Linked DNA regions of Lonchura striata. Each later gene encodes a partner of the first gene's protein in a complex. Links are inferred from orthologs where the notes say so. Each region holds a gene or a part of one and is shown in the gene's direction. Other genes may lie near its edges. The genes, in order: MYBL1, RBL2, E2F4 and LIN52.

What was found.
Region 2: MYBL1 (region 1) and RBL2 share a complex: the UniProt entries of both Homo sapiens proteins name them as parts of the DREAM complex. The link is inferred for Lonchura striata from reciprocal best matches to the Homo sapiens genes MYBL1 and RBL2.
Region 3: MYBL1 (region 1) and E2F4 share a complex: the UniProt entries of both Homo sapiens proteins name them as parts of the DREAM complex. The link is inferred for Lonchura striata from reciprocal best matches to the Homo sapiens genes MYBL1 and E2F4.
Region 4: MYBL1 (region 1) and LIN52 share a complex: the UniProt entries of both Homo sapiens proteins name them as parts of the DREAM complex. The link is inferred for Lonchura striata from reciprocal best matches to the Homo sapiens genes MYBL1 and LIN52.

What each region holds. Positions count from the first base shown.
Region 1 is NC_134603.1:35,032,982-35,040,550, forward strand, and holds the start of MYBL1 (myb-related protein A), read left to right. Parts: upstream 1-4,426; 5' UTR 4,427-4,441; coding exon 4,442-4,461; intron 4,462-7,569. UniProt on the Homo sapiens protein: Transcription factor that specifically recognizes the sequence 5'-YAAC[GT]G-3'.
Region 2 is NC_134615.1:12,862,174-12,869,509, forward strand, and holds the start of RBL2 (retinoblastoma-like protein 2), read left to right. Parts: upstream 1-4,228; coding exon 4,229-4,423; intron 4,424-6,067; coding exon 6,068-6,198; intron 6,199-7,336. UniProt on the Homo sapiens protein: Key regulator of entry into cell division. Directly involved in heterochromatin formation by maintaining overall chromatin structure and, in particular, that of constitutive heterochromatin by stabilizing histone methylation.
Region 3 is NC_134615.1:16,854,961-16,862,289, reverse strand, and holds the start of E2F4 (transcription factor E2F4), read left to right. Parts: upstream 1-4,324; coding exon 4,325-4,507; intron 4,508-6,324; coding exon 6,325-6,434; intron 6,435-6,900; coding exon 6,901-7,064; intron 7,065-7,329. Other genes in the region: EXOC3L1 (exocyst complex component 3-like protein), read right to left, coding at 1-655, 940-1,159, 2,103-2,263, 3,232-3,274. UniProt on the Homo sapiens protein: Transcription activator that binds DNA cooperatively with DP proteins through the E2 recognition site, 5'-TTTC[CG]CGC-3' found in the promoter region of a number of genes whose products are involved in cell cycle regulation or in DNA replication.
Region 4 is NC_134608.1:23,653,913-23,660,920, reverse strand, and holds the start of LIN52 (protein lin-52 homolog), read left to right. Parts: upstream 1-3,950; 5' UTR 3,951-4,025; coding exon 4,026-4,044; intron 4,045-4,124; coding exon 4,125-4,199; intron 4,200-4,410; coding exon 4,411-4,448; intron 4,449-4,919; coding exon 4,920-4,986; intron 4,987-5,999; coding exon 6,000-6,083; intron 6,084-7,008. Other genes in the region: ALDH6A1 (methylmalonate-semialdehyde/malonate-semialdehyde dehydrogenase [acylating], mitochondrial), read right to left, coding at 1,299-1,373, 3,429-3,491, 3,669-3,728.

The sequences.
Region 1 (7,569 bases):
CTGCCTGAATTCACAATGAGCTTCCAAAGCATAGGAGCAAAGAATTACAAACTTCTGCATGTGACTTCCAAGTTTTTCTATCATTTCCTTGTGACAGTAGGCAGTGGGATCATGACTGGTATTTTTTATTCACTAAAGGTTTTATCATAGAACTCTTACCAAACTGGAGCAGTAAAAAACAGTATACATATAGACTTAATATATGGCCTTATAGTGTGGTACCTTCATACCACTGCAGCTTGGTGACATTTTTTGAAGCATCAGTGTTTTATGGGAAGGAATCTGTTTCCTAACAGGAACAATCTGGTGTTAGTTAAGGCCATAATGAATGCCTAATAGAAGTTTTATCCCTGCAGATTAGCAGGAAACTAAACAAGAAGGAATAAATAATGGAACAAATGGTAGGACCATCACTGTGTCTTCCAGAGCACTTTGTCCTCTGAGTCATCTGGGTAAGAGCAAGAGTCCCCTGTCTTTGGAAATATGTTGTCCACTGCCATTAGTACTTGGGCAACCCTACAAAACCCAAGCAAGATCCAAATGCCAACAGCTGATTCAAGTGTTGTTTGGTTTTGATTTGTCAGGAGACCCAAATAACAGTTCTAAGGTAATGCTAAAGTGTCAAAAAATGCCACTGGAAGTATGTCACTGTGACTCAAGGTCTATGACCTATGATTTGCCTCTTCCAGACACCCTGAACTTGCAGCAATGTCTTTGCACCTGATCATGTTCTTTGGTTCTAGGCGGAACTGGGCTCTCCTTTGTCACAAGGGAGTCTCGGGAAGGGCAAACCAAGGCAGAAAGAAGTTCTTGCACAATGGGACTCAGATATTGCTAGCTGGTGAGTGTCCTGGGTCTGGGGGCTTGTGAGCCATGACAGCTCAGATGAGATGGGAGGGGATAGTCCATATCCTGCTACAGAGACATGGTCTGTTTGTGCCTTCTTTCTTATAGGCTCTATGAAGAGAGTAGTAAGCCTTTGGCTTGGTTTTGTGAAGTGCTAGAAGCTAGAAGAAGAGACAGAGAGAGGGGAATGCATCTCCATACTTTTTTTTTAGCATGTAGGAGCAAAAGAAATTCCAAACATTAGACCTTGTTACACAGGACAGTAACAGGATAAAATAAAAAAAAAGAAGTGAGGCGTGTATATGCTTACTGGTGTACTCCAAGGAGAATGTTTACTGGATGTCATAACAAACTACATCTTTAGGCTAAGGAATCTTTTAACAACAGGACCATCAGTACTTATTATTTTAGCAATTTGCTTCAGCTAATGCTTTCAGGATCTGTTTCCTGCAAATTAGGAACACATGTGTTACTATGGGAATATACAAAAAGGCACCTATTTAGACAATAATATTTTTATTTCAGGCTCCTTTCACTGTGAATTAAATATAAATGAATACTAAAAGATGCCATTTCATACTGTATAAGGCTGATGACACAAATCCTGTCTCAGGATGGTTTTTATTACTTTTTCATTACAGCTTTTGTAGTTCAAAGACTCCTGTCAGAGCTTTGATGTGGGGAAACCTGCTGCGTTGTCATCTCTGGATACTAAAAGTGCATCACAGGGAATGTAGGTTGGTGCTGAATACCTATTAGCAAAGACTACAAATAAAATCCTCAAGGATTTACTTTTCTTTGTAAAAGATGCAACGATACTAGTTCTCCCTTGTATCATGGGTTTGCGGAGCGGGTGAAGGTGGGTTTTTGGTGGTGTTTTGGTGGGTTTTTGGTGGTGTTTTGGTGGGTTTTTGGTGGTGTTTTGGTGGGTTTTTGGTGGTGTTTTGGTGGGTTTTTGGCGGTGTTTTGGTGGGTTTTTGCCCTCCCGTGCCGTGGGGGTTGTGCCGCCACCTGTAGTTCCCGCGTGCCCGCGCAGGGGGCGCTGCGAGCCCGGCGTTCCAGCGACTGGCACCGGGAACATCCACGGGGCTGCGGGGACGCACCGGGAACATCCCCGGGGCTGCGGGGACGCACCGGGAACATCCACGGGGCTGCGGGGACGCACCGGGAACATCCACGGGGCTGCGGGGACGCACCGGGAACATCCACGGGGCTGCGGGGACGCACCGGGAACAGCCCAGACGCTGCGGGGACGCACCGGGAACATCCACGGGGCTGTGGGGATGCATAGACTCCACACACGGCTTAGTTTATTCAGATAACTTCTGTGTATTCCATCCGGGAGGACAGCAGGCTGCCCATGAGCCAGCCGTGTGCCGTGGTGCCCAAGAAGGCCAGTGGTACCCTGGGGAGCATTAGGAAGAGCTCTGCCAGGAGGTGGAGGGAGGTGATGCTGTCCCTCTACACATCTGGAGTGCTGTGTGCAGTTCTGGGCTCTTCAGGACGAGAGAGACAAGGAGTTTCTGCAGCAGGTCCAGCGGAGGGCTGCAAAGATGTTTAAGGGAGTGGAGCACCTCTCTTTAAATACAATTTAAAGCATAACTGGAACAGCTCATGTAGTGACAGGACAAAGGAGAATGGATTCAAACTAAAAGATAATAGGTTTAGATTAGATATTAGGTAAAAAAAATGACCACCAATTACTGAGGGTGGTAAGGCACTGGAGAAGTTGTGGATGCCCCATCCCTGAAAGCATTCCAGGCCAAGTTAGATGGAGCTTTGAGCAACCTGGTCCAGTGGAAGGTGTCCCTGCCCATTGCATGGAGGCTGGAACTAGATGATCTTTAAGGTCCCTTCCAATCCTAATTGTTCTATAGTTCCAGCTAAAGTCTCGTGTAGGAAAATACCTGGAACACACAGAGGTTCTGCTGGAATATAGCTTTTACTTCACGATGGTGATAGCTTCAGGAGGTCATTGCACAGCCACCGAGGATGCGATGTGTTTCTACCAGAAAGGAAGCTGTAGCCAGGTGGGGTTCAGCTTCCTCCAGGCAACTAGTGACAGGATGACAGCGCTTAGTCTTAGGCTGTGCCAGGGGAAGTTTAGGTTAGACATTAGGAATTTCTTCACGGAAAGGGTGACTAAACGTTGAAATGGGCTGCCCTGAGACGTAGCCCGTGGAGGTTTTCAAGGAAGGACTGGATTTGGCACTCAGTGCCACAGTTAGTTGACGGTGGTGTTGTCATGCGTTGCACTCGATGATCTTGAGAGGTCTTTTCAAACCTGATTCTATTTGGGGATGGCCTCTTCCCAACAGACCCGTGCCGTGGCTGGAGCAGGAGCTCCGTAAGAGCGCTGGCTGGCTGATGGATGAGACCCCCGCTTCCCGCTCCTCCAGCACGCGAGCAAGGATAAAACATCGGTTTTTCGGCAAGGGAGGGAAGCGGGAAGCGCTGCCCTCGTCCGCCGGGACAGCTCGCCCCGGCGCGGGAGCGTGAGAAGCGGAGAGCGCCGCGCCCGCTGCGCTGACCGACCCGCCGGCGGCGGGGCCAGGGTGCGGGAGGCGCCGCTGGGCGGCAGGGCCGCTCGCAGTTCCGTGTGTCCGTCCGGAGAGCGTCTCCATGCTCCAGCTGCTCTCGGGGAGGGAATTCCAGCTACAACACGCGTCACCCGCGGCACCCGGAAAACAGGATTTATACCGAGGAGCGGGAGGGCCGGCCAGCTCCCTTCGATAGCTCAGCTGGTAGAGCGGAGGACTGTAGAGGCGCGGCCCGCGGGAATCCTTAGGTCGCTGGTTCGATTCCGGCTCGAAGGAGGCGCTCGGTTTTGCCGCGCGGGGGCGGCCCCGCCGTTACTTTCTCACTCTTTTGCCGTCGGGAGCCGCCGCCGTTGCCGCCGGCGCGGGGCGGCTCGCGGGCGCTCGCGGCGGGGCGTTGCGGGGCCGCCCCGCTCCCCCCGCCCCGGCCCCGTCACGCCGCCCGCCCGCCGGCGCGAGGCCCCGCCCCTCCCGCCCGGCGCGCGGAGCCGCGTGCGGTCGGCGGCGGCCAATGGGGCGTCAGTCCGCCTGCGCAGATTCAAACGGCGGCTCGCGGGGGGGAGGCTGCGCGCGAGATTCGGGCGGCACCAGCCGAGCGCGCCGCGAGCGCCGGCGGCTGAGCCCGAGCGGCGGCGGCCGGTGCGCGGCGGGGGCCGGGAGGGCACAGGGCAGGGCGGCGGAGCAGAGCGGCCCGGGCGCGGAGGGAAGGAGCGCGGCGGGCGCCGCCGGAGCCCGCGGCAGCTCTGACAGCATCGGAGAGCGAGGCGCAGTAGGGGCGAGAACGGGGCCGCTGCGCGCCCCGACCTTGCGGGCAGCGGCCGGGCCGAGCCATGCCTGACGCGCCGGGGCCGGGCCGGGGCTGAAGGCGGCCGCCGGGGCGCTGCGGGCACCGCGGGGAGCAGCGGGCCCTGGGAGGATCCCTGCCCGGCTGGAGGCATTCTGAGCCGCCGGTGCCCCGCTACGTCCCTGCCCTGCTGTGAGAGAGGGAGCCCGGGCGCCTCGGGGGCTCCGTGCTGCGCCCCGCGGCCGCGGCGGCCCCCCTATGGTGCGCGCCGAGGATGGCGGAGAGACGGCGCAGGTGAGTGCGGGACCGAGCGCTCTGCGCTTTCTGCCCCCATCCCCTCCCGGGCAGTGCTGCCGTCCACGCCGCCGTGCCGAACCCAGGTGCTCCCCCCGCCCCGGGATCCCGGCCAGGGGCTCCCCCCGCGCCCCGGGATCCCGGCCAGGTGCCGCCCCGCCCCTCACCGCTGCTCCCGGCCTCCTTCCACCGCCCCGCTCTCGGCTGTCACTGCCCAGCTCCCTCCGCCCTCCGGCCCCCTCGCAGGTATCTCTTCTCTCGGGTGCAAATCCCGCCTTTCCCCTGGCAGCTGCTCTCGCTTCTGTGCTTTCGCTCAGGTTGTTTTTTTTTGTAACTCACCTGAGCAACTGAGCTTGTCAGTAACAACTACGCTGTCTCCGCAGTAGCTTTCCGTGCTGGTTATTTTTCTTTTGGTGGAGTAACACTTCTTCCCTTTCACTTCACAATTCTCTTTGGCACAGCCTTGATGTAAGGTTTGGGCCTGTTGATTCTTTCAATATGTTCAATGCACTTACTTTTTCTCAGCTGATACAGTCACAATCTAGCCTGAAATGTTCCTGAGAGATAAAGTTTTGCACAAGAGCTCCAGCAGCTGCCCTAGATAGCTTTCATACATCTTTTGTTATATTGATATGAAAATGGGCGTGTCTTTGCTTTGTATGCAGAAGGTGGGTCTTGGAGAACTGTTTTGTCTCTATGGTTATTCTTGTCTTAAATCAGTTTGTGGAAAGTTATAAAGAAATGTAAGAGAAGGATTAGGATTGAGAAAGGAAAGGATACTTGGTGTGTTATCTATGGCATCTGGGGTTTGTTGTGAATGCATACTTTTTATGGAATTAAGGGTGGTTTCAAAGTTATACGTATTAGAATTGCTTCTGCATTTTCCTCTGACGTGAAAAAAAATATAAGAGAATACTTTTCTGCAAAATGACAACTAAAACAAGAAAGCAATGCTTTGGTGTTCACAGACTACTGAAGCTGTCTGTGCTTGGCTGTCTCCAAGATAGCTCAGAGGCAGCATGTTTCTTGGCACTCCTAATCAGCATTCTGTAGTTTAAGGGACTTTTTTCACCTGTGGTATTACACACAGTAGTTTCATTTTTGTCAAGCTTTAGATTGTATTATCTCCCATGGCTGTGGAGTGCTTTGATTTCATGATTGAAAGTACAGTGGGTTGTGGATAGCAGAGGAAGGTTTGGTTAGAGATTGGTAGCCCGAGGCGGATGTTGTGTTGGTGTCTGATGATGGTATCTCCAAAACTATATCACTGAAGCTATGAGTTTTCATGAAAGTGACTTCAAGACTTTTAGTCTAGGTGTGGAGTAAGGAGAAACTGTAATTGTTTTGCACCAAATGGTATTAAGTTTAACCTTACATTAATTTAAACTGCTCTTTTGTTGCATTTACAAGTTTGATTTTTTTCTTTTAATGGTCCTCAACTCAGAATTGCATGGACAGCTAGCAAAGATCTCACAAAATATGTACCTCATTGTCCCAGATGATTGGATGAAGCTTGGTGGATGCCTTCCACTTCAGTGCAGTATTTTAGCAGTTTCATAACTGCAAAAGAATTGTCAAATGAACTATAACAACCCCATGTGTTTAAAAATCTTGCCTTTTTAATTGAAAACTGAAGTAGTAGTCCCACTCATTAATCAGGATTTGATTTATAGTCTATCATAGCACTAGTCTAAACAAGACTCAGGACTAAGTGGTTGTTCAGGTTCATTGAGGTGCAGGAGAGGTTAATGCCTGCTTGGCTGACGGAGGCACCAGTGGGACATGAGTGCACCCGGAGAACTCCCAGTGCAGGGCTCTGCACCGTGGCTACCTGTGGGGCCTCACCTGGTCTGGCACCGCTCTCAGCAGCGTCACCACTTTGTACGTGGGGCCCTTCTCTTCCTTTGAATCCCCCTGACTTTTCTCCTAGCTGGAGACTGCTCAGGACTAGTTTGCTGTGCAGTGGGTGAGGAGGTCGTGCTGACAGAGGGCTTTACAAGAAGGCCTGATTTTAGTTATAAGTGAACTGTATGGCCTGCCTGGTATGAAATGGTATTATGAGAACTATATTTTAGTATTGCAATCCTAAGATAGATCCCTGAAGTTTGTCAAATATCTGTGGACAAAAGAAAAAAGAGGCGTTGGTAGGGAGGCAGAAAAAACTGCTGCTTCTACGTTTAAGATCTGTTTTTCTAAGTCTTAAGCCACCTAATGCAAACCTCTTAAAACGTTTGCAGTTTTTTTTTTTGAAAGTATGATGAAGAACTTGCTGTTGACCTTCCCACAAGTTTGCTGTCTTAAGTAAGTCGGCAAAGTTTTAATTTGCTTATGTTTTACTGATGCATCATGAAGCTAAAGTTGGGCAAATGCAGGTGTGGTGTAGGATGTAGAAGCAAGTCTGCAGGACTTGGGCACTTACTATCCTGTGGTAATGCTTTTGAATAAAGTATGTCCTTGGTGGCTAACAGGAGCAGACTTAATGGTAAATAATGTGTAAGTGGTTAATCAGGGTGCTGATTGCATGTTCTAGGAAATAATGGAGAGATCGTCCATGGAATTGTTCTTGGGATGCCAGCACAGGTTAATTTCATTACTGGGGAAAGTTTTTTTTATACTTTCAACTGAAAAAGTATAGTTGTCAAGGGTGAGCAGAAATAATTTTTGTTTTGAACCTGAATTTATGATATTTTTATTGTGCTTTGTACCAATAATAAAACAGAGAAAAAAATTGCACTGTTAAACTGCTTTTAATTTAAGTGATATGTTTGGATTGGGAGTCTATTCTTTGTGCCTTTGGTGTAATTAATGGAGGGGCACTGCAGCTCTTGTTGTTAGGGTTAGGTTTCCACATGTGTTTGAATTTATGCTAGCATGAGTCGCTGACAGAAGTTTCAGGGACGATTCCATGAAAAATTCCCTGTGCCGACTGGAAGGCTTTGTTTCTGCAGGCAGTGGAGTTCCGCGTTTCCCCAGTAGATGGAGCGTGATCTACGCGGAGCCGCAGCGGTACCCGGCTGCCCTGGCCCTCTGGCTCTGTGCTTTGAGGCTCAGCCCTGATGCCGAAGTTATTTATTCTGGAACGTATCTGGCTTCAAAGATTTGTGTCTA
Region 2 (7,336 bases), on another chromosome or scaffold:
CATCACTTCCCACCCTTCCCCCACAAAACAAGTCCTAAATCTTGTGGCTAAAACCTAATTTATATCAGATTTATGAAATAAAGTATTTTCCTATTATGGTCAAGTAAGTTTGGTTACTGTTCTAGTGATTCTTTCTATGTAATAAGGCAATTACAGTTTCAAGTAATGAAAGCTGGTGTAGACTTGAACATAATTATATTTGGGTTATTTTTCATCAGTTTGATCCAGAGGGGGGAAAAAAGTGTCCCACTATCAGCTAAACTATATGCAAATACGGTTGTATAAAGTTAAGGGTTATAAGGAAACCTCAGTAGAATTACACTAATACTGGAGTTAAAATTAAAAGGATATCCAAGGTGATGATAAAGTGTGTGTTGGTAGTTACTAAAAAAACCTTAGCTGTTATTGCCTTGTATTTCTATCCCTTGTTTCAGGCTTCATGATCCAAGTCTTAGTCCAGGTTTTTTTTGGACATTTGCAATATTTGCCAGTTGTGTTCTGTGTAGTCTGAATTTGCTTTCTGTAGTTGAACAAGCGTCTTAAAAAGTCATTTGTAATTTATTGAATTACTTTCTATGATGTTCTATAGAGCAAATGGAAGTTTAATTATTTTTTATTAAACATATTCTTTGACTACCCGTGATGTCAGCCTCCGTATGTGAAAGTAATGCTGTGAAAGGATTAAACATGGATCTTCCAGCAGCAAAACTCAAGTTTCAGTGCTAAGTTTTAAAACTGAAATTATTCTTAAGACCTTAAAAAAAACCCTGCAAACAAGCCAAGGACATAACACACCTACTGCCCAAGACCATGGTTTACTCTTGTATATTTTTCCTGGGAATCAATTGCCCCTAATTTTCTTATCTTACAATCAAACCAGCTGTTACTCCCACTCTTCAGTACTTATGGTTAGAAAAGAATGTTCAGTCTAGGTTCTGGTCCAAAAGTTACCTTAATTTTAAATAAGCATGTTGGCAGTGAAGTAAGTACCTTTTCAGTCTTTTTTTTTCAGAAAAAAACTTTGCATTACTTTCCACATTTTCATTAAAGCTTTTAATTATGTACACAGCACTTAACTATTGCATGTATTTCACACAGGGCACAGACATTGCTCCTGAACCCAAGGTGTCTCCTGCCACCTGGCATTGCATTAGAATGATTCAATCGTATCCTTATTTATTTCAGTCTGAATTTTATCTTCATATCCTGATCATCTTTTTCGAGCTTCTGCAGATGTGTACACAGGTGTTAGAAGTTGACATATACATGAGCTCCGTTCTCAACTTCTCTTTTTTCCATGGAAGTCATGCAAAATCTCCAATAGTATTTTTTAAAATTAGTTTTAGAATCCAGTCCTCTTGGTCTGTAAATTAAAATATAAAGATCTGTTTTTCAATGGAAATATGGAAATATGTTTTCAATTGAAGTATTCCCAAGATGCTCTAGGCACTATAGTAGTGGTTAGTTTCTGGCACTCCTTTGAAATTTTTCCAAGCAGTATGTGGGGTATGATTAGATAAGACTCTTAACAAGGTGTCCAGGGAAAAGTCCTGTCCTGTATGTTTTATTCTGTGTCCAACAAAATTATTTGTGCCATGTTATCTAGTAATAAATTTTTCATGGATTGCTCAGTGTGACCATTCATTAAAATGAAGGTTTGAGGAAGGTCTAATGCAAGTTGTAGCAAGATGAAATGTGCCTGGTGTTCAGGGTTAATATAAAGGGGGCTGCACAATAGTGTTACATTAACTTATTTGTGATTTGCAAGTTACTAACAGTTTTATAGGCAGTTTCTGATTTAGTTTTATTACACATAGAATTACCTTCCACATGAGCAAGGCTGTTTCAGTGCAATGTGGGATTTACACTGCTGTAGTTGACCAACATTTAAAATTTTATATCTCTGTGTTGTTGGGACCTTGGGCTGGTGGTGTTGTCTGTAGAGCAGACTAATTGTACTGTGTAGCCACAGTTTACAAAATAACTGTCCTGGCTTATCTGAATGTCCCTAATGTTACACAAACAGGCAGTATAATTTCTTTGTTAACATTTAGAGGAAAAGGAAATAAAGATAACAGCTTTCCAAGTTCTTTTTATGATGTTTTTTTATTGAATGCTGCCTCCTTTCAGGTTCTTTCATGCAAGGAAGGAAGGAAGGTGTAGTGCCCAAGATCCTTCATGAAGTTAAACTGGAAAATGAGGACTTGTTTGCTCTGCCTCCTGTGTGTTTCCAGTATGAAGGAGACCTGACAGTGCACTGGTGTTCCAGGTAAGGTCTCCTGAATTAAAGGAAGGCTGGTTTGGGAAATTCTTGGGATCCTAATAACAAATACAGTGTCATCATCTAGAGAGATGAGAGCATTTTCCTTAGTGTTCACCAAAACTGGTAACAGTCCTCACACTGTTTTCTGCTCTCAGACGACAAAAGCATTTGATTTGGGGACTACCATGTCAGGTCCTGTCCTTGACAGTGTTTGAGCTGCGTGCAGCAGCTCAAAGCAGGGAGCAAGACATGTTCATGGGGAAGATTTCTGAGTCTACAGCACAGTAAAAAATGTATGCTGCCAAGGGGTAGCCAAGCAGCTGTGACGGACTCGCGCTGAGAGGGTGTTTGTGGCTGTTACTTGTCATACTGGTAGGTCTAACATCTAGCAATAGTCAAAATCATTAAAATAATTAACATGCCATATGAGGGTAACTTTATTATTCATGCATCCTTTTAATGGGGGAGGAGCGGGAGGGAAAGAAGGGAGAAGTGGAGAAATAAGTGATGCTAAGTCCTCAGGGATAAAAAAGTATGTTTCTTGTCTGAGTTTTCAGTACACCATTAAATAAAAACTTCAAAAAAAAAAGTTTTCTACACAAGAGCAGTCAAACCATTTATTTATGAAGTCTGAATGCATGAAACCATAGGGAAGTACACAGGTGTAATCACTGCATAATAAACTTCACTTTGATCCTTTAACCTTTTAACTCTTTAGGTATTTCAATATTGTGAGGGTTTGTTCCTCCTTTTTTTATATGAAGGATTTTTAAAGAGTAGATGAATTATTTCTCAGTAGAAATTAAATGCTGTAATAAGTTATTGTTGCTTTGTATTTTAGTAGATACTGTAAATATAGCTAAACAGAAAAGCCTTACATAATTTATATAGTCTTATGGGTGGCAGAGAGCTTCCCATCAATGCTGTGCATAACTCAGAGCAGGAACTTGGCCTGATGGCAAAGTTCATAGCTCCTCTGTGTTAAAACAAAAAGTAAGATGAAATACAATCTAATCACTCCTTTTTAAAGTTGTAAGTTGTTCTGGTAGTCTAGGGGCTGCAGGTTTGGGGGGAACCCTGCTGGCATCACCATCTTCCAGTGCCAGCTTGGGCTTTCTGCAGTTCTCATTGCTGGGTACCAGTGTGTATTTGTGTCCTGAATCACATCTCAGGTCAGTCAAATATTCTTAACATTTCTTTTTTTTTTTTTTTTCCCTGAAGCTTTCAACGTTCGTGAAATACCAGTAATACAAAATCAAGCCAACAGTCAATAAATGTCTTTTAATCAAGTGCAGCCTGTTTTACTGGTCACTTCATTGACACGTACCTGCTTTAGGAGTTTAACCTTACTTTTGGCAGCCTCCTTTCTGCTCGGCTGGCACCTGACCAGGGGAGCTATTTCTGTCTTTCCTCCCCCTCACTGCCTGTGTACAGCCTGTACCTCGCTCTGTGTGAGCGTACAGCCTGTACCGTGTTCGTATTTGTGTGTGTATTGTGTACAGCCCGTACCCCGCACTCTGTGTACGTATTTGTGTATATATTTGTGTACAGCCCGTACCCCGCACTCTGTGTACATATTTGTGTGTCTGTCTGTGTGCAGCCCGTACCCCGCACTGTGTGCACATATTCGTGTATATTCGTGCGTGTGTTTGTGTCTATTCGTGTACAGCCGCAGCCGGCCCGGCCGCTCTCCGCCCGTTCCGGGCTCCCCTCACGGCCCCGGCCCCGCCCCGCCCGGGGCTCGCGCGCCGGGCGCGCTCCCGATCCGCGCCGCGCGCGCGTCTCGCGGTGCGTGCTAGGAGCGCGCGCCGTGCGCCTGCGCGCGGGCGGGGCGGGCTGTTGCCCCGCGGGCCAATGAGCGGGCGCGGCGCGCGGCGGGGGCGGGGCCCGTCCCCCGGTGTTTGGATTCGAACGCGCGGGGCGGCGGCGCAGGCGCGGAGCTGCCCCCCAGCGGCGGGGCGCGGCATGGCGGGCGAGGAGGCGGCCGGGGCCGAGCCGGGTCCCGCGGGGGCCGCGGCCGCCGCCCCGTCCCCGCCGGGCGAGGACGGCGAGACCCGGCAGCGCTACGAGGAGCTCTGCAGGAACCTCAACATGGACGAGCGCGCCCGCGCCGAGGCCTGGCTGAGCTACCAGAGCATGAGGCGCAACTACACCCTGGAGGTGAGGGAGGGGTGGCGGGGCCGGGGGGAGCGCGGCGGGACGCGCGGGGGAGGTGCGGAGGGGAGGGACGGCGGCGGGGGCGCGGCGGCCTCTCCCTCGCACCGCCCGGGCGGCCGGGAGTGACCATCGCCACTGGGAGTCATAGCGGCGGAAAGGTGTTAAAAATGGAAGAGCCCCCGCCACTGCGGTCCCTCGGCTCTCCGCAGCTCGGCCGGGCAGCGGCGCGGCGGCCTCGGCCGGCGCGGGGCCCGCGGGGATGCCAGCGCAGGTGCGATCACATTTGTCACTTATTTCTGGGGGCTTGCGCGGCCGCGGCACGGCCCGGGCCGGGCGGGTGGAGGGTGGAAGGTGAAGGGTTGGTCGCGTCGTTCTGGAAAACAGGAACACGCGGTGACGCGCCCGGGAGCTTTTATCGGTGCCTTCCCACAGCAAAGGTGGCGCCTGTGATAACCGCGCTGCCCCGCGCTGCCCCCGCGCTTCCCCCGCGCTTCCCCCGCGCTGCCCCGCGCTGCCCCCGCGCTTCCCCGCGCTGCCCCCGCGCTTCCCCGCGCTGCCCCGCGCTGGCCCGCGCTGCCCCCGCGCTGCCCCGCGCTTCCCCCGCGCTTCCCCCGCGCTGCCCCGCGCTGCCCCGCGCTGCCCCCGCGCTTCCCCGCGCTGTCCCGCGCTGTCCCGCGCTTTCCCCGCGCTTCCCCCGCGCTTCCCCCGCGCTTCCCCCGCGCTGCCCCGCGCTTCCCCCGCGCTTCCCCCGCGCTTCCCCCGCGCTTCCCCCGCGCTGCCCCCGCGCTGCCCCGCGCTGTCCCCGCGCTGCTCCGCGCTGCCCCGCGCTGCCCCGCGCTGCCCCCGCGCTGCCCCCGCGGCTCTCGGGCAGAGCTCCGCGCCGGGCTCGGGGCTGCGGGAGGAGGAGCGGCTCCGGCCGCGCCGCTGTCCCGTCGCGGGCGGGCGGCGGTGCTCGGGATCGAGCCTTGCCTCGCACACCCCCAGGTGGGCGCTCAGCCGGGCCCCTGGCACCGCGGAGCCCGACAGAACCAACAACCGCAGCATCGAATTCCGTTTGGCCCCTTCTTTCTTCCCGTTCCTTTTTCCACTGAGGTGTTACTCATTGCTCAAAGACGAAGAATAAAATTTCAAGTGCTCATTAGAAATAACTTCTTTCTTTGGGTACCGGATTGAATAATTGTTCTGCTGTTTAATACAGAGCGAAATGGAAGCAATGTTTTTCTTTTCCTGCTGTCTCTTCAGGGCAGAAGGATGTTTTGGTTGCAAGAACTATAGTAGTTTCTCTTTTTCTCTTTTTTTTTTTTTTTTCTTTTTCTTTTAAATCCAAGCAGTACAAAATGCTGTAGATGAACACTAAAAATATATTTTCATATACTGAAAATATATTGGATATTTTGAGTCAAATGTAAATGTTATAATGGCAACTAGTAGTTTTGATGCAGTTCAGTGTTCAGTGTCTATTTAGCACCTGTTTTGTTGCAGTTAAAAACCCAAAGCGCAACAGAAGTTTGAAACAGCAAATCTACTTTCTCACTGGTTGAACTTCATCTGTTTGGGACAGTGCTTTTCCCTGCTGCTGGGGTAGCTGAAAAAGCATGTTTTTGTTTTCAGTGCAGTTTTTTAGATGCCTGATGTTTTGATTCACAGGGAAATGACATGCATTGGCTGGCTTGTGCCTTGTATGTGGCTTGCAGGAAAGCAATTCCAACTGTGAGCAGGGGAACAGCGGAAGGAAATTATGTGTCCTTAACCAGAATCCTGCGCTGTTCAGACCAAAGGTAACTTTTATTCTTGCTGATTTTTAGACACTTAAAAAATCACAAAGAGTGCTTATCACCTTGTGAAATTGGAAATCGAGAATAAAAGCTAAATGTGTTTCTTGTTTCCTGTTTTTGAAGTCTGTGTAGAGTCTATATCCCCAGAATGTTTGTGTTATAGCCCACTGCCAAAGAAGTAGGGCAGTACTATGTTCATGAAAACGCTGGTTTTCAAAATGAGAGATTTACTTCCTTCACTCAAAGGAGCAAGAAGCCAGACACTGAAAAACCATGAATTTTGGGAGTGTGCAAATTGTGAACTTTTCACATGAGAAACCATTTGTAGTTCATTGTGAAAATGTTCACAAGCTTTATCTCTGTTTTTGCATAAGACTTCACTTTTCACATGGTTTTGGTAAAATCATTAAATGAGGTCAGAATCTGACAAACAATTTTGTGTCAGATGCTTATGTCTATAAAGTAATAAATAAAAGCTTCTGAAATAATTGACTTTATTAGAAATCTCGTTGTTTTCTAAAAATTCCATAGATTCTCACAAAAAAAAGAATGTTCTTACGTACTTCTTAGCCGGTTTCCTCTACTGTTGAAGCATTGCTGTTGATTAAACAATGCAAAAGCTTTCCTCTATAAGCTTTTATTTTCCAAATCAGAAATTCAGGGAACTGAATGTTGATAAATTGGTTCCGTGATCTGGACTATCAAGACTAATAACACTGATAAAGAAGATGAAGATAAAGAAGCTGTAAAGGAATTAAAGCCAAATTTGCAAAGTGCAATTTTCTAAAACTTAAGAGGTTTCTCATACTTTGTAGAATATTCTTAGCATTGTAGATCTCATAGGTTGATTTATTTAAATTAATAAATTATTCAGAAAAACAAGGCAAATCTGATTTCAAATTAATCTAACTGTTGGAATTGATTTTGGCTTTGTGAGAAGATGCCAGACCTGTGAGTACATAGTTAATGGGGTTATCAGCCAAGGATCTAAAAATATTTCACGAGCTGTCTGAGCTCATCCATGTTTATGGGTGAAGGACTGGCTCCGAGTTCATTGTCATGTTTGCAGAGCCACCATTTCATCAGTAGTTCGGGCAGTAAAAATTGCACTTTTGTTGAAAATGTAGGGTTTAATTCTGCA
Region 3 (7,329 bases), on another chromosome or scaffold:
TATACACGGAGCGCCCACTCAAGGAGAAGGAAGAGTCCCTGTTTGTCCAGGTCCTCCCGCAGGATCTCCTGGAGGTGGCTGGTGAGGGCCTGGTGGTAGGTGGCAGTGCAGAGGCTGAGGATGTTGTAGTGGGCTGGGACACACTGGACCATCAGGTCCTTCACCACACGCAGCTCAGACACGATGTCCTTTTGCAGCGCTGCCAGGTGCTTGGCCAGCCCTGGCCCCTCAGCATCCATGCGGGGAGCATGGAAACGGGCTCCTGTGATGGTGTCCTGGAGGACCTGGTAGAACTTCTGCCTCCAGCCCTTTGGGCGGCCAGGGGGAAGGAAGGTGGCCTCCAAGAGCAGAGTATCATCTATTTTCTCCTCCCGCTCGATGATCCTCACAGCAGTGACAAAGAGAACGGGGTCCTCGCGCACCAGCTGCAGGCTGCTGCCCACAATGTCCCACAGCTGCTTGGCCAGGCTCTCGTTGAGGTCCTGCAGGCCACTGAAGTAGGACAGCACAGTTGCCTGGGCATCGGAGAGCCCGCGGAGGTGCAGCTGGGAGAGGATGTCATCCCGGAGTTGCTCTACCATCATGAGTTCCACGTGGGCCTCCAAGAGATGCTGCCCATGGAGCAGCTGCAGGATATGGGAAAAAACCTCGTGGACTGTGGGAGAGGGAGGAGAGATGCCAGCACTGAGTGTGGAGATGAAGGGGTTTGCACCAGGGACATAGATGCAGGTTATCAAGGAGATGGTGAGGGGAAAGGTCTGGGGCTCTGGGAACACCATTGGATCAGGCCCTGGGGAAGCAGGGATATCTCCATTCACCCAGCTGGCAAAGCCTGAATGACCTGCTTTACCACCAGCCCTGCACAGAGCCTGTGGTTGCACTGAGGTTTCCCCCAGTGCTTTTCAGCCCAAATTGACCAGGATTGGGCCAGTGCCTTACCCGAGAAGATCTGGGGCAGCACCTGGACCACCGAGGCCAGCTGCACATGTTCCTCCATCAGCTTCCTCATCTGCTGGAGGCCCTGGAAGTTGTCTGCGCTGTCAAGCAGGGCCCACCGTGCAGCCCCCAGGTCCTGGCACACGCCCTGCACCTCCTGGGCCGCCGACCGCAGCTGCTCCAGCCCTGCACTTACCCCCTCCAGGTAGGACTGGACAGTTGACTGGGGAGCAGAAAAGGATGGAGGGCAGTGGAGCAGCTCCAGAAGGCAGGAGGACTCCACACCACTTGTCCCAGCCCTGTACAATATGTGTTGCAGGCACTCTCCCAGCCCCACAAGGCCCATGGTAAACAGCAAGCAGATGCCTCTCTCAGTTTTAAAAGATTACTTTGCTTCTGCAAAAGAGCAGTGGGTCATAGGGTCCCTATGTGCCCCCAAGGTATGAAGGACCTCAGTGGCCATATAAACCCTCCTCCCAAATGGAGTGCCATCGTTTCCAGCCCTGCACTGGCACATCTCCGTGCCCTATCCACTCATTTAACTCCCTGCTCCTGATGCCAAGAATCACCAGGAAAAGTTGCTTTCACGGAGGCCTCCCAGACAATTCATCCAGAGTCAGGATAGGAGAAACCATTTCTAAAATTATTAGGAGAAAGTTGTGGTGCTCAGACTGATTCCTTGGGTCATGCAAAAGAGGATGTGGGTGAGGAGGCAAGTGTGCAGGGGGACTGGGACAACCCTTACAAATGTGGAGAGATGGAGTTTTCCCTGTGGAGATGCACAGGCAGGGACAGGTTGGAGCTCTGTGCTTCCTCCCAGCTGTGGGGCAGGGCAGCCTTTGGGGCTGGGACGGGGCAGTGATGGGGTGCACTGAGTCCTGCACATGGAATGTGCTGAGCCCCCTTGGTGTTTTATTTTGCCGCATTGTCAGAGACACAGAAGACTCCTTTTAAAACTTCAGACACTGCCTGGGGGTAAGGCAGAGGGTGAAGGGGGTCTTCTCTCCCCAACAATTACACTTCACCCACCAAACGCCAGCCAAAGGAAAAGATTTTGTCAAAAGAGGACATACAGAGAATTGATGGCGCAAGAGGGGACCTGGCTGGGGTCCCTGCCTGAAGAGGGGGTGTGGCTGCAAGTGTCCGCGGGATGGGCAAACACACACCTTCAGCCGGGACTGGATGGAGTTGTTCCTCTGCGTCTCTCGCCTCCGGTAATGCCCGAGCCCCTCCAGTTTCTCGGGGCGGTAAAACACCCCTGAAGCCCATTTCAGAGCAGCTCCTCTCGCCAGCTTCTCAGCCTTCTCCGCTTCCGGCCACTCCTCGTCTGGGGACGAAGCCAGGGGTCAGTGAGCACAACCAAGTGGGGCAGGAAGGGCCCCTGAGGCCAGAGGCAGGAAGCTCGCCGCTAGTGGACTTCCAAGCACACACCGACGTGGGAAGCTGGGCAGCGTGTCCCCAAGAGGGTCCTTCCACAAGGGCCCCCTAAGATGCCACCACCACGGCCCGGGGTTGTCATAGCAGCTGTGGCAGCAAGAAATAAAGCTGTCCTGGGGTGCTGTGACTCAGCCTGCCAGCTCAGATTGTCCCCAGGCTGAGTGTACATCCCGGCTACTCCCCAAAACAAAATGCTGGGTTGTCTGAGGGGGTTTGATGCCACTTGGGCAGCTGTCAGCAGGGTTGAGACTCCAGCAGTGAGTCAGCAGGAGGGATGGGGACACAGCAGTTCTCGCAGGAAGGAGAGCCAGGCTAAAGTGAGGATTGGAGACTCCTGGTCTCCCCAAAGCACCCATGCAGCTGTGTCCCCCTTGACACAGGGTCCAAAGCCATGCCAAAGAGCTCCTGGCCACAGTGGAGGTCTGAGAACCAGCACAGTTATCACACACCATTCCCAGTCCCCTCATGCCTGGTTTCATCATTCCCCCACGCCACCCCATCCCCAGCCACTCCCTGCAGCTCCGCGGGGCTATCACCCCGTGCCAAGCCAGGCTCCTGCTCTGCTGGGGAGCCGCTGGCAGCCTTGGGACCAGGGGATTAGGGAGGAGGACAGCAGCTTTGAGGATAAGATGAGCGGTGAGCAGAACTGCCCCCGCGCAGGTATCGCCATCAGGAAGCACAGCCAGGCTGCCACCCCGCAAGGACAACAAAGCACCAGCCACGGCACAGGGAAAAGATCCAGGAGGGTGGAGGGGGTGGTGAGGCAAAGAGCAGGGGAATCCCCAAAACGTGCTGCAAAGCAGCAGCATCCCTTCCCTGCCCAGCTCGCCGGCTCCCGGGGAGCATCATGCGCGTTACCTCTGGGGCTGGCGGCGCGCTCGTCCTCCGCAGACATGCCCATGGTGTCCAGGCTGCGCGGAGCTGCGGGGCCAGGGCAGGGCTGCGGAGGAAGCCGGCTGCCGTTTCCTCAGCCGGAGCAGCCGCGCTCCTCAGGGCCTCATTGTGTTCCCGCAGCCGCGCTCAGGACGTCAGGAACGGGGGGCGGAGGGGAGGGGGGACACGGGAAGGCACGGCGACAGCCGGAGGTCTGGGGAATACAAGTCACGGAATCAAAGGATCGTTTAGATCGGAAAAGCCCTCTAAAATCATCGAGTACCAACCGGTAACTGCCAAGCCCACCACTAAACCATATCCTAAGTGATACATCCACACGGCTTTTTAACGTGTCCGGGGATGGTGACTTCACCACTGCCCCAGGCAACATTTTACAGTGCCTGACCATCCTTTAATGAAGAAATTTCCCCTAATATCCAATCTAGCCCTCTCCTGACTCAACTTGAGGCCATTTCCTCTCGTCCTGTCCACCCACACCGGCACCCCCTGTTCTCCGGACACTCAGCCCTGTCCGTGCCCGCAGCACTGTTCTCTCGCACCCACCCTGGCTCGGGGAGGCCAGCGGGGTCCCAGACCCCAGCCCATCCACAGTGCGAGCCCACTCGAGGGTGGATCACCATGAAGGGTGTGCTGTGCCAGCCTGACCCGGAGGCGAGAACGCGGGGATGCACCCTCCATGGCTGCAGATGGACCTGCAGATGTGTCCCTGCCACAGGCTGCCTTCCCCGGGCACAGGCTGGAGGATTCCCCCGGCGCTGGGTGTGCTGGAGCAGCAAACCGGCCCTGACACCCGGGCGGTGAGAGCCGAGTACACGGCTGAGGTTTGGCTTCGCTACCACAGGGTGGGGCTTGACTTTGGCACCGCAGAACGGCGAGGGGATGGACGCACCCCTGGCTTTGCCCGGGGGACCCCCAAACCGACGGGGCTGACGGAACACCGGCAGCAGAGCGGAACGGCTCCGGAGCCCCGGGAGGCGGCGGCGGGGAGTCCCCGGTCCCCGCCCCGCCGCCGTCCCCGCCCCGGAGGTTCCCGGGGAGCCCCGCGGCCCGGAAGCGGATGCGCGGCCCCGGAGCCGGCGGCGGCGGCGGGCAGATGGCGGAGTGCGGGGCGCAGCCCGCCGGCGGTGGCAGCGGGGCTGCGGGCGCGCCCAGCCGGCACGAGAAGAGCCTGGGGCTGCTGACCACCAAGTTCGTGTCGCTGCTGCAGGAGGCCAAGGACGGCGTGCTCGACCTCAAGCTGGTGCGGGGGCAGCCGGGGGGGTGGAGGGCTCCGCCGCCCCGGGGGAGGGCTCGGAGGGAGCGGCCGCCGGGAGAGCGATGCTCCGGCGGGACCGGTCATCCGGCGGCTGGAGCAGGTCTGCAGGGGGAGAACGGGGGCATGGCAGCGCCCGGTGCAGCAGGTGGTTTAGTTTGGATTCCAGGAAAAATTTCTTCACGGCAAGAGTGCTGAGGCACTGGTGGAATGGGCTGCCCAGGGCAGCGGTGGAGGCACTGTCCCCGCTCAAAAGGTTTGTGGGTGCGGTGCTTAGGAACATGGTTCAGTGGTGGGGTTTAGGGGCTGGGATCGATGAGCCGTGAGGGCTTTTCCAGCCGTACTGATGCTGTTTCTAGGCGAGCGGAAAGCGGGGTTCTGGGGCTGCGGCAGGGCTGCCGGCCGTACACAGAGGGCTCTGCATTGGCCGACCTTACACCCCCGCCTGCTCCTCCTTCCCAGCCCTTGTCCCCACCCCGTCGGGTTGTCCCGGCGACTCTTCTTTCGCCAGGACTTGACCATGCATTGGAGGTGTATGTGTGCTTCAGTTGCAGAAACGTTTGACCACCTTCTTCTCTTATGCGTTCTTGCCCCGTACTTGATCACTGGCACCAAAGCCTCAGACATCTACAGAAACACATACCTATAGAAACTGTCCATACAGCACTTAACCCTCCTGGCACACACCAGGATGGGGAGGGTGGTCAGAGTCACCTGCCAGAGGTTGTCCCCATGCCTTTAGGCAGTGGAGAAGTGTTGTGTGAAATCATCTTGCTTCTGCATTTTAAGATCTTCACCTAGAGGAAGTAACACTGTCAATGTATAGTATTTAATCTCTGGCCTTTCCTGTAGGGGAAGTTCCTTTGCTGTGGTTTATATAAGCATCTCTTATGTGGGCACGTGTGTGAGACAGACAAGTGCCAGAAAGCCCCAGTAATGGACTGGAGGAGTTTCCTGGCTCCATGCCTGTGCCAAATTGTTTTCTCATTTGATTTGACAATATTTTTCTTCTTCAAATGTCCATTAAGGGAATTCGTGTTAGTCAGTGTGATTTATGTAGTTGTATGGTGTAGGATCTCCGAGGTCCTGGCCTGTCACTGGTAGGTGACAGAGACATAGTTCCTGTGCTGACCTGCTGTGTCTGCACTGCCACTGACATTGTTGGTCCTTCTGTGCACACATTAACTCTTGCTGGTGCCAGGTTGCCGTGTGGTAGTGGAAACAGTGCCATTCCTTGAGTCCTGAAACCTGAGGGAAAAGGGTTATTTGAGCAAGGCAGGGAAGCCCCAGGCATGCTCATGGTTACTCTCCACCTGGAGTCATGTCATTCAAACAGAGGAATCTCTTGAAAAGATATTGATTCTTTATCAAGTAGTGTCAGATCAGCTTTAGAAAAGACCTTGTGAATGTTGATTTCACTGAAGTGTTGCACAGACAGCTCTCAGCATTCCCCTTCCCATCTCCATCTCTACCCCGAGGGAGCACTAAATTTTTAGGCTGCTGAACTACTATATTCTAGCACTGCTTTGCTACTGGAGAATGGTGATTTTTGTATCCACTGTGAGTAGGAGTGCTGGAATTTGATTTGGGTTTAGTGGGGAGGCTATGGGGTAAGAAAAAAAGAAGAATGAGTGACTTCTTCTCATGGTCATGTGAGATCAAGAAGATGGCTGTGTAACGTGAAACGCTGGAATGGGAGAGGTATGAAACAGGGAGCAAAGTATTTGGCCAGGAGTTAATCTGCCAGGCAGGAAGGAGCTAAACATGACTGAGAGTTTGGAATTAAGTATCTTAACCTTTTTCAGGCTGCAGATACCTTGGCTGTGCGACAGAAGCGACGGATCTACGATATCACGAATGTCCTGGAAGGCATCGGGTTGATTGAGAAGAAGTCCAAGAACAGTATCCAGTGGAAGTGAGTGGTAGAGATGGTCTAAATCATTCACAGGTCCCTTCTAATGCAGATTTAAGTGACAGTGGGATTAAAATGCTGTGTGCAGAGGGAGGTTCCTGAGTGGTCCATGCTCTTGCCTCCCCCAGCTGTGCTGTGCTGATGGCACAGTGAGGAAAGCTGAAGTTCGTATGGTGTCTCTCTTACAGCAAAGGTGTTATTTTGGTACAAACTAAATATTTGCACTGCCTTGGTCTAGGAAAGATACCTGTCATGGCACTGGAGGTGGGGGAGACTGTGGGAAGTAGAAAGGTGTACCAAACATTGCTATGGTGGGAAGTGGGGGTCTAGAGTGGGTACAGACACAGCTTTCCAGGCAATCTGGCATTGGTGTTTGACACGGGTGGGAATAAGAGGCTGGCAGAGAGATTGATGTTGGTCTGGGTGCCTCCAGAGGCCGATATATCTCACCCATTTTTGTTTTACCCAGGGGGGTGGGTCCTGGCTGCAACACACGTGAAATAGCTCACAAACTGATTGAGCTGAAGGCAGACATTGAGGACTTGGAGCAGCGGGAGCAGGAGCTGGAGCAGCAGAAGATGTGGGTTCAGCAGAGCATCAAAAATGTTACAGAAGACATGCAGAACAGTCGATATCCTTTGTGTGAACTGATGGCTCTGTCTCCGTGTTCACTTGCTGGGCTGGGAAGCAGAGACATGACAGCTTGGTGGGTGCTGGCCTGTTGCTGCTGGAGAAGCTGCACTGAAAGGATCAAAAGGCAGCACCTTGGTTTGAAATTAGGGTAACTGTCCAGCCTGGAGACCTGCTTTTCTCTGCATCCAGCTTCTCCTCTGGCTTTTGGAAGTAAAAACATAGTAATGTTTACCACAGTGAGAAAAGTGGTTTTTTCTGAGTCACA
Region 4 (7,008 bases), on another chromosome or scaffold:
ATCAAAACTCAGCTTTTCCTATGTGTTCCCACCAACCATTCAAGAGTTCTTTCACAGCACACACCTAATATTCTTGTTCTACAAGTTGTACTTCTGAGGGCACAGCACAAAGGAAATGCCTTCCTTGATTGCACACAAAAGGCCTGGGCTACAACTGGAGTAGTTCTGAAAACCTGCATTCCAAATATATCAAGCTAAGCACTCAGAAAACTACAAATGCAGTGCTGATTTCCAAGCTGGAGTTGAAGTGACTTGGCTATCTTGAAACTTCTAGACAGTATAAGGAAAAATTTTCCATGGACTATGGTCTTTTCCTCTCCATCGTCTTGGTTCATCTGGCTGTCCCTCTTGCACATTAAATGAGGCAATATTCCTTTGTGAAAAGCAGTACATGACTGCACATTTGCCATTGATATTAGCTTACCTATACCCCTAGGCCAAAGTACTATTTATATACAACCTTAATTCTATTGTATTTTAACTTCAAGCTTGGTGCCAGTTTAACCTCCTTCTAATGTTATCTTAAGAATTAAATCTGCTTTGACATGACAAAAATTTCAGATATATCAGTAAGACAGAAATTACTCAAAACAAGAGGAAGAAAATTAAACAAGAGCACTGCTTGCTACATAGACCAAATGAGCTTCATGAACATTACTTGCTGCTCTGATCATTTGCACAAAGCAAATGAAAATAGAGCTGTACAGAAAAGATTTAGAAACTGCTGTTTTAAAGGCTTACTAGGAAGGCCAGAGGATCAGAATTCTGAGTGCAACCTCATTTCCATTTGTCTTTGGTGGAGTACATAGACAACACAAGTGCTACTTATCTATTTTGCACTGCATAGCATCTAGCTCTGTGATTATTGTGCGTCAACAGATAGAAACTCTCTGAAAGGAGAGGAGCTTCAGCTGTTAGCATTTTTCACCTTTTTACTCTGAGAGTAATATCAGCCTCTATCAGGATTTCACATTCAGCTGGGATCAAATCACACCCAGTTGATTTCATATACAGAGTGAAAGACACCCTTCAGAAATCTGACATACAAAAAAATACATAACCAAAATTTAAGCTTCCTTTCTGGAGACCAGGGCCTTACTATGTGAGGGAGGTAAGGGTGATAGTAACTTATTCTGAAACTGATATTTCATGTGAAAAGGAAACTGAGAAGCTGTAGTCTGCTGAGTCTAAACCTTTCTCAAGAAATGTATGTTTTTCATCTGCCACATCCCTGAAGAGGCATAGACCTTTGTTTCACAGTGATCACTATTTACATAAGGTGAGAGCATTTCACTTACTGGGTTGTGGATATCAATCCATTCAGTAGTTTTGGACTCAATAAACTTCCCATCAATGAAGAGTTTGGTTGTTGGCTGTGGAGGTCAAAACACTGAAAAGTGAGTTATTTTTGTCTCAACATGCCTAAATGCCAATGTGCCATATTACATGCAAGCCTTTATCATTTACTGCTATGTGAACCACTAAAGTCTGTATCCAGTCTTCACAGCAAGACCCAGATAATTGCTCTCTGCCCCATTTTGCTCTCTTTACACCTAAATAGCCAAAATTCTTTCTAAAAGCAGTTATAGAAAAAAATACATTGCTCTGCTTATGTTTGGGATTGTTTCAATCTATTTAATCAAAACCTGAAAAACTGCAACTCATAAATGTTCAGAAGAAACAGTTAATAATTCACTTCATGGGAATTCTGTGAACCCAGTGCAGACTGTACCACTGTCCCATGTGCCTCCTTCCCATCAAGCCACTAAGCAGGTTCATCTTTCCAGTTTATAGCTTCAAGCAGAAAATTGGACTTTCCCCACCCCCTGCTTGGTCTTGCAACTAAGAGTAAGAAACCTGTATCTGTGGACTGTCCTGGCTGGCAGCACAGAAAACAAAACTTTCCCACTCAGATGAAGAGGAGGGACAAGGAAAGTTTGGAATAAGGAGTTCAGGCAAACATAGAACAGAACAGAAGGCAGAGGTAAAAGCTGTAATTAGCATTAGATAGGCAACAAAACTATACCATGCAGGAAAACAAATTGTGACTGTATAAATTAAGAAACTATAAAAGAGGAGTTGACATTGGGAGGTAAGGAGAGAATTAGAAGAAAGCAAGAACCAGTTAATCATGACACAAATCCATGACTTGGGGAGAACATGTAAGAGAAAGGGGAAATGGATCTTCTGTATGAATAACACAAATGGGACAGATCAACAGAACCAGGATATAAACCCAAATATATCATGAAAATGAAGAAATTATGATATGGAATTATGAAAGGGAGATGAGAACTTGGATGATATCCAAAGTGTAATGAAGAGACAGAGATCAGAGTAAGAATCAGGAACATAAATGGTACAGGGTGGACAAGTGATGACAGTGAAAAGTGGATGAAAGTGAAAAAAAATTAACAGCAATGTTAGTTGGACAAACTGAGAAAGCTTTGAGATGAGAAAGTTAGGATCAGAAGTATAAAATAAGTCTGTTAATGGACAAGCAAAACTTAATGATTTGGAAAGCAATGCTAGAAGAGAATTAAAATTAAAATGTTGCAGATGATTATGTAGCTGGACTCACACTTGGGGAAGAGAGGCAGAAATCTGTGCCTACAAAAACACAATCTCCTCTAGAACCTGGAAGAAAGCACAGGATATCCGAGTCCCTTGACCGAGTTTCCTGACTGTGAGAAAAGCTGCTGGTCTAAAGAATGACAAACTCCTATGGCTATCAATCACTCCATTAGCCTCAGTGCCACCGAGGCTAATGCAGTACAACCACAAGCGCCAATGCTTTATGACCCACATAGACTTCAGTGCAATGGAGTTAATGTCTTTTTCAAATTGATTAAAAAGGGTATCTCAAACATTGCACACGCAACAAAAAATACTTTAAGCAAGCCAGAAAATGGTGAATTAAAATTAATTGCACCTTTCCCATAACATCGCCACCTTTTTTTATGTAGAGAATGCACCTGCTGTGGGAACATGGACGGTAGTAAAGCAGACTACTTGTGGAATTCTGGTTTGGAGTTCAGAGAGTGTGCAGCCATGGACAGCAGAGGAAAAAAGGCAGTACAAGAACCAAAGTTGTTTGATACTGTCCGAAAGAAACCAGATCCTCTCTCTGTCGCAAATAGATGCATGAGGCCAGTCCAGAGCCACCAGGAGTACCGCGGGGTGAGGGCGGCCACCGCTCAGCTCCGCAGTCCGACAAATCGGACATGGAACTTTTTCCCGTCCCTCCCGTGGAGCGCGGGCGCAGAGCCGATGTTTGTTCCACCGGACCCGCCGGGGTCCAGCCGAGCCGGCGGGAACGGCCTCAGCGGAGCGGAGCCGAGGGCAGTGTCCGGCGGGCGGCGGCGCCCGGGGCTCTCCCGCGCCTCCCTCCCCGCCCACCGGCTCCGCTCCGCGGGACGGGCACTCACCACCGAGGAAGAGAAGGACGCGGCGACTGAGGTGGTCCAGGGGGCACCGGCTGTCCGCGGCAGCTGGACGGGGGCAAGCACAGACCACCTCAGGGCGGGTCAGGCAGCACCTCCCCCCGACCCCCCTCCGGCTGCTCCCGCCCGGAACCGACCCCCGCGGGGCCCCGGGGTCAGGTGAGCCTCGACCCCCCTGCGCCCCCCGAGCCGCCGGAGCCGCCCGGGGCCGGCCGGCCGCCTCACCCTGAGCGCCACGCGGCGCCGCCCGCCCCACGCTCCCCGCGCCGCCGCCGCCGCCGCCATCCCGGCCGAGGGTCCCCGCTCCGAGGCCCCCGGCCGCGCCCCCGCCCCGGCCCCGCCCCCGCGCGGCCAATCGCCGCCAGCAGCCGCTCTGGCCGCGCCCCCACGGCCCCCGCCCCCCGTGCCGGGCCGCGGATTGGCGGAGGGGGCCGAGCCGCCCTCCGAGCGTCACGGCCCGGCCCGGCCCGGCCCGGCCCCGCCCTGCGGCGGCCGCGAGCGCGGCGCGTGGGGCTGGGGGCGGGGCCTGCTTTCCGCTCCCGCGCGGCTCGGCCGCGGGCGCGGTCACGTGAGGCGCGCGCCATGGCGGCTCCGGCGGACGGTGAGGCGGGAGGGCCGGGCGGCACCGCCGCTCCCGCGCCGCTCCCCGCCCGCACTGCCCTCACCCCCTCTCTGTTGCAGGCGCCGACCTGGAGACCTCGCTGCTGAGCTTCGAGAAGCTGGACCGCGCCTCCCCGGACCTGTGGCCCGAGCAGCGTAAGTGCGGCGGGCCCGCGGCCCCGAGTCTGACAGCTCGGGGTGGGGTGGGGAGAGCCCGGCCGGGCCGAGCCGGGCCGGGCCTCCTTGGGGCAGCTGCACGGGCCGGGCCGGGCCGGGCCTCCTTGGGGCAGCTGCACGGGCCGGGGCGGGTGGCGGTGCCGCCCGCAGGAGCGCTCACCCCGTGCCAACCTCCGCTTTCTCTCCCCAGTGCCCGGGGTTGCCGAGTTCGCCGCCTCCTTCAAAAGCGTGAGTGAGCGCTGCTTTGCCTTTCCCTTTCGCGTTTCTTCCTTCCGTGTAATAGTAGATCGGCAGGTTCTCTTGCGCGCTTTACATCTTCTATGAACCGTATCTCAGCAATAAGTCCAATATATGCTACAATATAGCTTTTGGTTTTAATGTATCTTTTATATATGTGTTTCTTTTTATGCCTTCTGTAGTTCACTGTGTATGAGAATTATACTTTGAAAGCAGTAAAGGCTTTTAAACGTCAGAAAATCCTATTTTTCATACTGATTTTTTGGCTTGTGAATGGTGGCATGCCGTTTTTAACTCTAAAGTGTCCAGGAAAAAGCAAGATTAAACATAAAGGTATTTCTATGGCACACACTCTCGCATTTTTGCTGTTGTTGTAACTAGTTTTCAATACAGATCGTACTTCATTGTATAATTCTAAGAATGGACTTTTCTGAATATGAACTTCTATTTTTTTCAAAATAGCCCATTACAAGTTCTCCCCCCAAGTGGATGGCTGAATTAGAAAATGATGATATTGATATGTTGAAGGGTGAGTATGAATATTGTGGGCAAGAATTAAGGTTGCCAAAGCAGATGGGAATTCAGTAGTTACTAAGAGGCTTAAAACACTTGTTCTTTAAATGTTTTGGTGGTGGCCTTATGGCCTGAGATCTCTAGCCATCATATTTGCAGAATCTCCAACTCATAAGTCTCTTCATCTTGTTAATGATAGACATTTTCATTAAACCAGTTATTTCCAAGAGCCTATCCAGATATCAGTGGCAGGCTGATTTTTCAAGATAAGCAATGTAACATTGTGTATATTTCAGTCACCTCCCATAGCCTTTTTATCACCATATAAGTATAGTGAGCATCTCCTGCATTTTGAGAAGTAGCATTAATTTTTTGGAGGGGCTCAGCTGATCAGTTGGTGAGTAGCTTAGACTTGTTGATTGACTTGTTCAGAGATGCTCTACGTGTGTGTGTTCCCTCACAGATCCAGGAGCTCCAATGCAACGGTGAGGCTGTACAGGCAAGTTACAGCAGGATTAGCTAGCATGTACACTTTCTTCATGGTGCAGCTGTTAGTTTGCAGTCAATATCCTTCAGCGTGCTCTTCCTGTCATGAATTCTGAATGATGGTGTGTGATCGTGTCACAGTGACATGTCACAGCTACAGAGTGAAAGTGAGACAATTTAACTCTGACTCACTCCAAGAAATGTGCTTGAACTCACGTTATTAATGCAAAATAAGTCCATTCCCTTGCTACTTTTATATAGCTTGTTCATGTTGCAGTGTGAACTTAGAGGAACTTCTAAAGTATAGGTCAAATTACTCTTTGCAATGGTGGCAGATCAAATCACGAACTAGAGTCATGGCTGCCTTTCTCCGTACTTTAAAATTAGGAGTGGAGTCAGCTTGAATTTTGAATGTACGCTGTTCACTGAAACAGATCCTGACAGAATTAAGGCTTGAAAGTGCTCTGTGAAGTACTAAACAGGTGAACTGCTATTGGAGGACTATAGAGAGGGTTAAAATTCGTCTTTTTCTCTCTTTTTAAGAGCTGGGGAGCCTTACTACAGCTAATCTGATGGAAAAAGTTCGTGGCCTGCAGAACCTGGCTTATCAACTGGGACTGGATGAATGTAAGTGCTGTACACAGATATGACTGACTGCATTCCAAATCTTTCCACTAAAGCATGTGCCTGTACATTGGTAGCTGGAAAAGTGTGTTGACAGATTTGGCAAGTGTTTTACAGTGACCTCCTGCAACAGGATGAGAGAATGAACTTACATCTCCAACTTACAGCCTACCTGCATGGGGGAAGATGTGTGTCTGGTGTTACCCAGTGGCACAGAGACTTCTGTTCCTGAGTTAACATTGTGTTACATAAATCAGGTCACTTTGCTTAATTTCCCACTCAAATTCTAAAGGTATTTCTCAAAATAATTGTGGCAGTACTTCTCTCAAATTTCATGCACTGCCTCCACAGGGAAATTTGTGTATAGGATTCTCCTGTCACTTTGGTATTCATACTGCTTTCTGCTTCTGTAGCTGTTACTTTTTTTACACTCAGTTGTGGTGGGCAGTGATGTCATTGAGTAATAAAGATGACTTTCATCCCAGTTGCAAACAGCCAACTCTTTCTGTGTTTTTTTGAAAAAAGAGCTCCTTTCATTGTCTCATTTAGGACTCCTGTTAACAGGTTGATATAGCTTTGAGGATATCAAGAATATTGTGGAGTTGGTTTTAATACTACCCATACATACCAACACATTTTTTTTTCTGTTTAGACCCTGGTTGTAATTACTCTTGGGCTACATGAAGCACCAAAAGTTTCAAGTCTTTCACCTTGCTTTTAGTGGGTACTACAACTTAGTAATAAACCTTTAGAGTCTTTCTGACTGCAGACATAGGATAGCCTAATGCATTCTTAATAACAAATCATTAAGCTTGTTTTAACCTACTTTGAGTTTATTTTACTTTCAGTGCTAATATCTGTTAAGACTGTGTGAAGCATTTGGAGTAGAAGTTAAAGTATAACAGTGTAAAACTGAGTCAAATTCAAA